2 linked regions of the Bombyx mori genome follow. The protein of the gene in region 1 purifies or fractionates together with the protein of each later gene. This does not show direct contact. Links are inferred from orthologs where the notes say so. Each region holds a gene or a part of one and is shown on either strand. Other genes may lie near its edges. The genes, in order: mago nashi and wibg.

Region 1 (4,058 bases):
AATTATTTCAGGCAGGAATATCGTATAATTGTTGGAAATAAAATTTTAATTCACCGAGAGGCTGAAATAGCTAGATTTTTCAATTAGTAGACTGATGGCCTAAATGTTTTGTTCGGCACTTGTACACGTAAATTTATCTTCTCCACACCGAAAATAAAATTCACACCATATTTCTCATTATTTTTTAAAAAGTTTCTTAATTATTGGAGACAATCGAAACTATATGTGTAATGTGTAGATTAATTCATAAAATAATCTTGCATTGCACCTATACCTAAATCCATACATTTGTGTTGTGGGAGTTAGTGGAGTTCTTAGCAGATTTTTCTGGCAGAGACAGTAAACATTATTAACATTGCCATATTACATATTTATGTAAAAAGAGGTAAATTAACATTAAAAACCAAAATAATCAAGCCAAAAATATAACATCATTTATTTACCATCTATTATTCTTTATGGGCATTAGTTAGGTTTTTGCATATCTATAATTTTATTATCTGTATGAATTTTTTACTTTGGCTTGTTTACTTGTGTTTGGCTTAATTAAAATAAATAAAACTGTTATATGTAAATATTTTATTACTCAAGAATAGGAGATTATAATTTTTATATAGGCTTAATCTTGAAATGTAGCCCAATTAAAGAGAATACTAGACATTTAAGGTCTTGAACTAAATAATAAAACCCACGAAGACCCTCAGGGTCGCGGGATTGATTCACGTCAACCAAAGATCCAGTCTTAGAAGTAGTGAAAGAAATATGCTCTTCTCCAATAACAATTTCTAATTCCTGAAAATTAATAAAAATAGTGTTTAGTACAGCATTAATGTTTCTCGTCTTAATATAATTTGTATAAATTAAAGTTCAAATAATAAATTATAAATAATGTTATTTAAATTTATTAAAAAAAAATTTTTTACATTTTGAGAAGAATCAGAAAGGAATTTGGGAGATTTTTCAACTATTTCACTAATTCAAAGATCTACATGTCTAAACAAGCTTACATTATAGTTCAGCTATTAGCAAATTTAATGTTAAGAATGTGGAATCAAGTGTGTGGGCCACCTAGGGGGTTTGAAGGGAGTTCATGCGATATTGATGTTGTATGATGTAAAATACAATGTTATTTATTATAATAACAGCATATGCATAAATTTTAAAGCAAATGCATCACTAAAAACAAAATCACGATTAAGAAGAAGAAGACTTAAAAAGACATAGATGAGTGTGCTGTGGCCAAGCAGTAATCTACAAAGACACATGCTGTAGCAGATTGCCTTCAACTTCCATCAATCAAGAGACTAAGTATTATAATTACTAGTGGTAGCATACTGTATGGCCATGAACTAAGTTAGCGCCAACATTCTGAATAATTCTACTATGAAGCAATTATAGATTTAATTTGACAGAGTGGGCCAGTAGTTACAAAATATAATGTTATATGGTACAGGGCAGTAAAGCTAAAGATGGTATTAGAATGTCCTTAAATGAACCTTTTGGCAGGTCATATTACAAATCAGTCCTAATGAAAACATTTCAAATCCAAAAACTCTTTAGTTGATTTAACTTTGTTCAGGGCTAGTACTTTGAAAATACCAAATACTTTTAGCAAATCTTCGCTATGTGAACCAGAAAACTAAAGTGAAAATCCAAGATGATGAATAACTTCTATGTAGGCATTTAATATTTCATTTAGTGTTGAGTTTGCCTCAAATTAGATTTAGGATAGGATTGTTCATAGTTCATAGTTCATCAACTTGGTTGTTTCATAAAGAATAAAGTAAAAAACTTAGTTTCACTTTGCATTTCCGTGTTAAATTTGTCTTTAAATAAAATACACACATATAATTATAAATCAATGTTTTAGGTTAGAATAAATTTAACTTTTTGCAATGATAATTTTTTTCAGGAAATTTGGAAAACCTTATTATATTAGTTAGTTGTGGAATTTTAACATACCTGCCTACCAACCCTATCAGGTTGTGGCCACAGGCGATCGTCTTCGTGCATGATTTCGGAATCAATTATGATTCTTTTTAACTCGTCCATTACACAAGGGTGAACATAGGCTTCTTTACGTATCATTGTATCGTTTTTATAGTTGGAATTATTGGCATAACGCAGTTTCCCGTCAGGCCGGAATTCAAATTCGAGAAATTCGTGGCCAAACTTTCCCTTGTGTCCAACATAATATCGTATGTAAAAATCCGTAGACATTTTGCACAGAGTTTTAAATTTATCCTCGAGAACTTCCACTTTAGCGGCTCTACTGATACACTAAAAGAAAATTACTCAATGATGAGAAAACCCTCAAACGCAAATTATCAGTTAAATTAATTTCAGAATTAAACTTCAGATTACACTCGCGTGTTTAATTCAATGTAGAGTATTGTAGAGTGGTGTTTGTTTGTTTGATTTATGGAAGGTTCATACTTCCAGTTGTCCGATTAGGAAGACAAAGAGAACATTGCCTAAACAGCCTAGCATTTTGCAAAAAGATAAAGAGGAAAAATTACGAAGATTACGGAATGAAGTTGAATGAAATCAAACGTGAAATAAAATAAGATGAGATGATATCGAGGAGTGAAAGGCTGTTTGGTTAATTTGATAATTTTCCAACTTTACCCGAGAGCCGTTGAAAGCTTAAAATTTGGAAAAAATATCAAAACACAAAAACTTATTCAGCTGTACGAATGAGATATACTTAATTGAAGTTCAATAAAAAACTTCGAACGAATAATTAGCAATTCGTAGGTAACTAATTAATTAAACGGACTATAATATTAAAATAAAATAAAAATTCCTCGCGTTCCAGCCAAAAATCCTTTCGCATATTTAATAGTACCAAAAGCCTTGATACTCGTATGATAGCACTGCTGTAGGGTGAATGAAGTTAGCCCCTCAAAAAAAATTTTTTTTCCTGTTTTCTACTTATTTTCTATTAATTCGTTTGTTCATCATTTGTTCTTGATTGTTCATTGTTAATAATTGTTTGTTCCCCATTTTATTATTTTAAAAAAAATATTAAAAATATATCTAAAAGTTAGCCCCTCGATTGCAATTTTTAATATTTTTTCGTCCTTAATTACTCGTAAATATTCATTTTCGATTGTTCTTATATAAAATACGTTTGTTCTCTTTCGAAATTACTCATTTTTTGTTTAATTAATTGTATTAGTTGAATAAATGTATACAAAATATGTGTACTGCGCATGCCATAAGTGTATAATCTATGGCGCATGCGTCAACTATAATGCCTAAACTTTCTACGCGGTTTTAATCGTGAAAAAAAAAACAATTATAAATCCTGAAGGATCGATTAATTGGTATACAGTTTAATTAAAAAAATTAAAAAATAAATAAATAAAATAATGTGCATTCGCGTAAAGTTAGACCAAATACATTTTTTCCATCCTCCTATATACCTATCGCTATGAAGGTATAAAAAAGATAGGTTAAGAGTTCATATAGGTAATATAAACAAATAAGTAAATATGTTCATTATTTATCTTTCAAGAGATAATGTAGGTATACATTATAATCCCGGGACCTGGGCGGGCCCCCCGGTGCGCACTCTGCGTGGCCGGGGGCTCCGTCTGTGGGGGAGTTTTGCTGGACTTCCACCGTGGCGCGTCCGTAGGTGGCGGATAACGGGATCCTCTGGGCGACATTCCCAGAGGTATCGTCCGATCTTTTTCGTTGCAAGGATTCTTAGGTTTAGGTCCTAGGTTTAGGGTTAGGTTTAGATGTAGATTAAGGTCCTAGGTATAGGGTTAGATTAGATGTAGGTTAAGGTCCTAGGTATAGGGTTAGGTTTAGATGTAGGTTAAGGTCCTAGGTTTAGGGTTAGGCTTAGGATAGCTTAGATAGGCTTTGCAACGAAAGAGATCGGATGACGCGGACCAAAATCAGCACTAGGAGGAGCGGAAGGACTGCGCTCTCCACACTCTTCACTAAGTGAAGAGTGCTCCTTCTGGAGATCGCAGCTTCCGACGGCACTGGTTCGCCGGCCTGCCGTGAGCGGTGGCACCCTGTGCCCCGTAGTCGTGGAAGTG
Region 2 (4,404 bases), on another chromosome or scaffold:
AACGTGATGTTTTAATCTTTTTCAGGCCATCTTGTTTCAGCACACGCAAGTCTAGAATAAATGAATATGGAAAAAAATATCTCATTCCATCCCATATACCTGTCATCTATCCAAGAAACTTCCAAGCTATATAGAATAAGTTAAAAGTACTAATTTACTGTTTCGTTATTATATAAATGTAATGAATATTAACTAATAATACATTTATTACTAAATTATTTTGTTTTTTAATCTTACATATCACGTGTCTCCAAAATGATTTTCAAAAAAGTATAGTGCAGGAAATAGGAACTTCTACGTTTCCCACATTCAGACCTCCACACGACTTAGTAATCCAGAGCACAAAATTATGAGACAATTCGAATAAATAACTCAAACACATTAATGTTGTAAATATATTGTATAATTAAAAAGAAACATTTCACTCGCACATCCACCACGACACACACATAACAAGAACATGATAATCAAATGTCTCATAAAATCTTGAATTGCAATAAATCATAGAATACTATTCTCTAAAATGTCAATTTCATTTAAAATTTCATTCTTTTTTGACATTTTCTCTTTTTGATCTTTATCAGGGCTCTTAAGAAGCCCTGCTTTTATTTTTTCCTCTAGAAACTCTATTTCTCTAAGCTTTTTTCTGAGATTCTTGAGGCGTTTTGTCGGATCAGACTGAGATATACTTTCAGTCGGTACTGACTGACTAGGTACGGTTGGTTCTTGTATTTCACATTTGGCAAGTTTTTCTGCAGCTTCTTCAACACCTGTAACTAAAAATTTAGAGTTCATAAAAATCAAAATTCTCTAACCAAATGTTCACTGCAATAATATTGGTTATTTTTAGTGGTGTGATTGAAGATTACATTTAAAATATAAAGTAACTAAGTTCAAAAATTTAAAATGGGTAAAGTATTAAGAATCTTTAAAAATAATGTATCAAAATTTTTGTGAACTATCGGCTTGATAGCTCTTGTCATTTTTTAAATATGTTTTTGGAAGCTAAGGTTTACATATTTACTAAAAATTGCCTTAAACGTTCATGTTCACCAGCCGTGTATGCCAGCAAAATAATAATCTTCTATAATATGAATAGGATAGTATGCTTCCTAATATTGCTATTGAGCTTTTTGAGACTGCAACTTAAAATCCCTAATACTAATTATTCCTCAAAAGTTATTCTGTAAGATTACCCTGTCTTATTCTTTATTTGTGAAAGCTATTCATAAACATGACAATGTGTTGCTGTTTTGACTAGATTAATTTCCCTTAACTGCGTTTGAACTCCCTGTCAAGTGTCCTTCTATATTCTTTGTCACTTGATGAAGCTGTTGTGGCCTAAGTGATAAGAAGCCCGGTGCATTCGTATCAAGCGATGCAATGGGGTAGGAATCTGCAGTCAGGTACCATTTTTTCTAGTAAAATAAGTACATAACAAATGTTCATGATTGACTTCCACTGTGATGGAGTAAAATCGTGTATTAAAAATAAAACCCATAAAATTATAATCTGTATAATTAGTGGTGGTAGGACGTCTCATGAGTACACAGGTAGATAACACCACCCTGTTTATTTTTGTCGTGAAGCAGTAATAGATTTTGCTTTGAAAGGTGGGGCGGGGCAGCCATTGTACTGTAAAAGGTTGGTGGTATTTAGGTTGTAGATGTTTATGGGCTCCAGTAACCGTTTAACACCAGGTGGGGCATGATTTTTTCCAACGAAATAAGAAAAAAAGCATATTTATTACTCATTTCATCCTTAAGTTTTTTTATTCTAAAAATATTATATAGCAAAGCTCTAGATAGTTTCTATAGCCAGGGTGATATTACTGCAGGAATCTAGCAAGTGCTGGAATATTTTCTTTTATGTAATTTAAGAGTACCTAGCGTGCTAGAGGAAGAGCACCAGCTAGATGGGTGGACCAATTTAAGGAGGTGACTAGAGGCCAGATACAGGAAGCGGTACTTATGGCGCAGAACCGGACCGAGTGGAGGAGATTGACATACAGTCATGATCCTCAGCATAGAGGGAACGACCAGAAAGAAGTCACCTCACACAGAAAAGTACCTTAAATTTTTTCATGAAATATTAATTCAGTAAGGACTCAAAGCTTCATTTATTATATATGAGCCCTATAGATAAGCAGATGAGCTCAATGACCATTTGATGATGTAATAACATATTACACCAAGTACCATTTTGCTTCAGGAACAACAAAAAATGTTTTTTTTTATACCTGTCTTCTTTTTCTTTTTCTTCTTTTCAACAGTTATAATCATTCCAGGTATAGGTTGGATAGTGCTTCGTTGACCTTTCTTCTTTTGTGCTTGAGCTACAATCTCAGGTGTAAGTCCAACCGGAAGTCCATCATTTTGCCTGGCCCTGAACTGTTTTCCTTTGCTTTCATACAACGGTACCTCTTCTTGAGGTACATAACCTTCTTTTATTCTTCTCGGCTTGCGCCAGGTTCCATCAGGTCTTTGAGTTGCAGGAATGAATTTACTCCCTTGAATGTTGAAATTTTTAAAAGTTAAGTTTAAATTAATTTTGTAAAGTTTTTGTAATTAGTTTTATCTTTGAAAATCAGTAAAAGTTAAGCTCGATTAGAAATATATAATAGACTGTTAATTAACAATAATAGGTAATATATTTGGATGAAAAATTCAAGTATTTAAAGGACAGTTCTTCCTATAATTATTGTGTGAAACGTTAAACTCTAATGTTTACAAAAAAATCGTATTGTATCAATTAATTCGAATATCTTCAATCACACGAAACGTGGTTAATGTGAAAACTACTAGAGAAAGCGGTGAGGCTTGAAAATTCTTCAATCGTGAATTTTTTTGTACACTAACCATCAGCGTCGTGCTCATAAGCCGTTGGTGTTGACATTATAATACATAAGATTTCAATTTGTATTTCAACATTTATAAATCACGGCAATGTATTCTTAAATAATGAGCTATTTTCGTGGTACTCTACACAGTCAAACCAAGATTCACACAAGAAACTATTTTGACAAATAAAATATTGAACCGCTTTGTTTGACACATAACAGAGGGACCATAGATTGTTACTTTTTACATATATAGCACTCGGTTTCTTTCTCTGCCATCGTTACTCGTGTCGAGTTTGATGGTTTAATTTTATTATTTCAAAGATACATTAAAATACTTTGTTAAATGAGAAATAAGATTAATTTATCTGAAATAAAATGATATGATACAAAATTAAAGGAAATAGTATGCTAGTAAGATGAGAATTGACTGCTATTTTAGTTAACTTTTGAGAAAATATCAAGAATTCTCGTCTAAATACTTATGAGTAGTTTTTACATGAAAAAAAAACATATTAAAATCCACTATCGTCACCTTTTTTAACTTATCCTATAATATTATATCCTTTTTGTAACTTCAAGATTTCTCCAAAAAAAAAAACAGCATTCAACAAAAAACACGAATGTAGACCCAAAGTTAGAGTAGCCAATGGCCTTATACAAATTAAAAAAGAACAAATTAAATATACTGTGCACATCTCATTTGTTTTGATTAATTATTTTAGTTATTTTAATTTTAAATAGATTCAAGGAGCAGGTTTAAAAATGCGTAAACGAAGAAGGATTTTCACTCCAATCAAAAACAAAGGAAAGAGTATAACGCAATTCCCTCAAATTTCTAATAAAGGTTTGATCAACATAACGAACTTTAATACACAATTGTAGGATATAAAATTTTCCTGATATGGTAGTCTCGTTGGTTGGTGGTTAAACTTTTAGCTTAGGGGAGGACCATGTTCGATTTGAGTTTCCTTCAATAAAGATGCAGAATATTGAATATCGAATATAAATTCTTAATTTAAAAACGAATTTTTTTGCTGAACTGTTTTAAATTCAAAGCTTACACCGGATTCGTATCTATAATTATCTATTGTATTCCCGCGTCTAGTTTATTATATATAATGTCAGTCATCATAAAATCACTAACACGCTAGTAGTCGAAGATCCTGATAAATGCAAAGTATTTAAAATGTCGTGAAAGTAAGATACGCGTGATTAGAGCGAAAAAATAGTTACAATTACATCTTTTAAAAACTGAAGAAAATAGTATATCACATATTTTAATGTTTTTTGTTTAAACAAACAGTAAAAGAGGTGACAACTGCTCGAGGGAGGCTGCAGGGAGCGTTAATGGAAATATTGGAACCGGCATTGGATTCTGATGACTCTACTGAACTTACACCAGGGAAAAGAAGGTATTTATTCATAGATATCTATTATACATTTTAAACTAGAATTGCATTATATTTAATATAGTTTAAGCTAATAAATAAGACTGAGGCCATTGAGACTTCGAGGAGTTTGTCATGATAGTTGATTGATGAAAAATCAAACTAGACACAACC

Evidence for each region.
Region 2: the proteins of mago nashi (region 1) and wibg purify together in Drosophila melanogaster (affinity purification with western blotting; 4 studies listed by BioGRID, with this or other methods). This does not show direct contact. The link is inferred for Bombyx mori from reciprocal best matches to the Drosophila melanogaster genes mago and Pym.

Annotation. Positions count from the first base shown.
Region 1 is NC_085121.1:13,251,658-13,255,715, reverse strand, and holds mago nashi, read right to left. Parts: upstream 2,355-4,058; 5' UTR 2,221-2,354; coding exon 1,963-2,220; intron 793-1,962; coding exon 610-792; 3' UTR 565-609; downstream 1-564. UniProt on the Drosophila melanogaster protein: Core component of the splicing-dependent multiprotein exon junction complex (EJC) deposited at splice junctions on mRNAs. Involved in exon definition of genes containing long introns, including the rolled/MAPK gene.
Region 2 is NC_085114.1:15,048,789-15,053,192, reverse strand, and holds wibg (partner of Y14 and mago), read right to left. Parts: upstream 3,078-4,404; 5' UTR 2,896-3,077; coding exon 2,859-2,895; intron 2,510-2,858; coding exon 2,240-2,509; intron 777-2,239; coding exon of another isoform or gene 771-776; coding exon 502-770; 3' UTR 382-501; downstream 1-381. Other genes in the region: protein lin-37 homolog, read left to right, coding at 3,605-3,686, 4,146-4,254. UniProt on the Drosophila melanogaster protein: Regulator of the exon junction complex (EJC), a multiprotein complex that associates immediately upstream of the exon-exon junction on mRNAs and serves as a positional landmark for the intron exon structure of genes and directs post-transcriptional processes in the cytoplasm such as mRNA export, nonsense-mediated mRNA decay (NMD) or translation.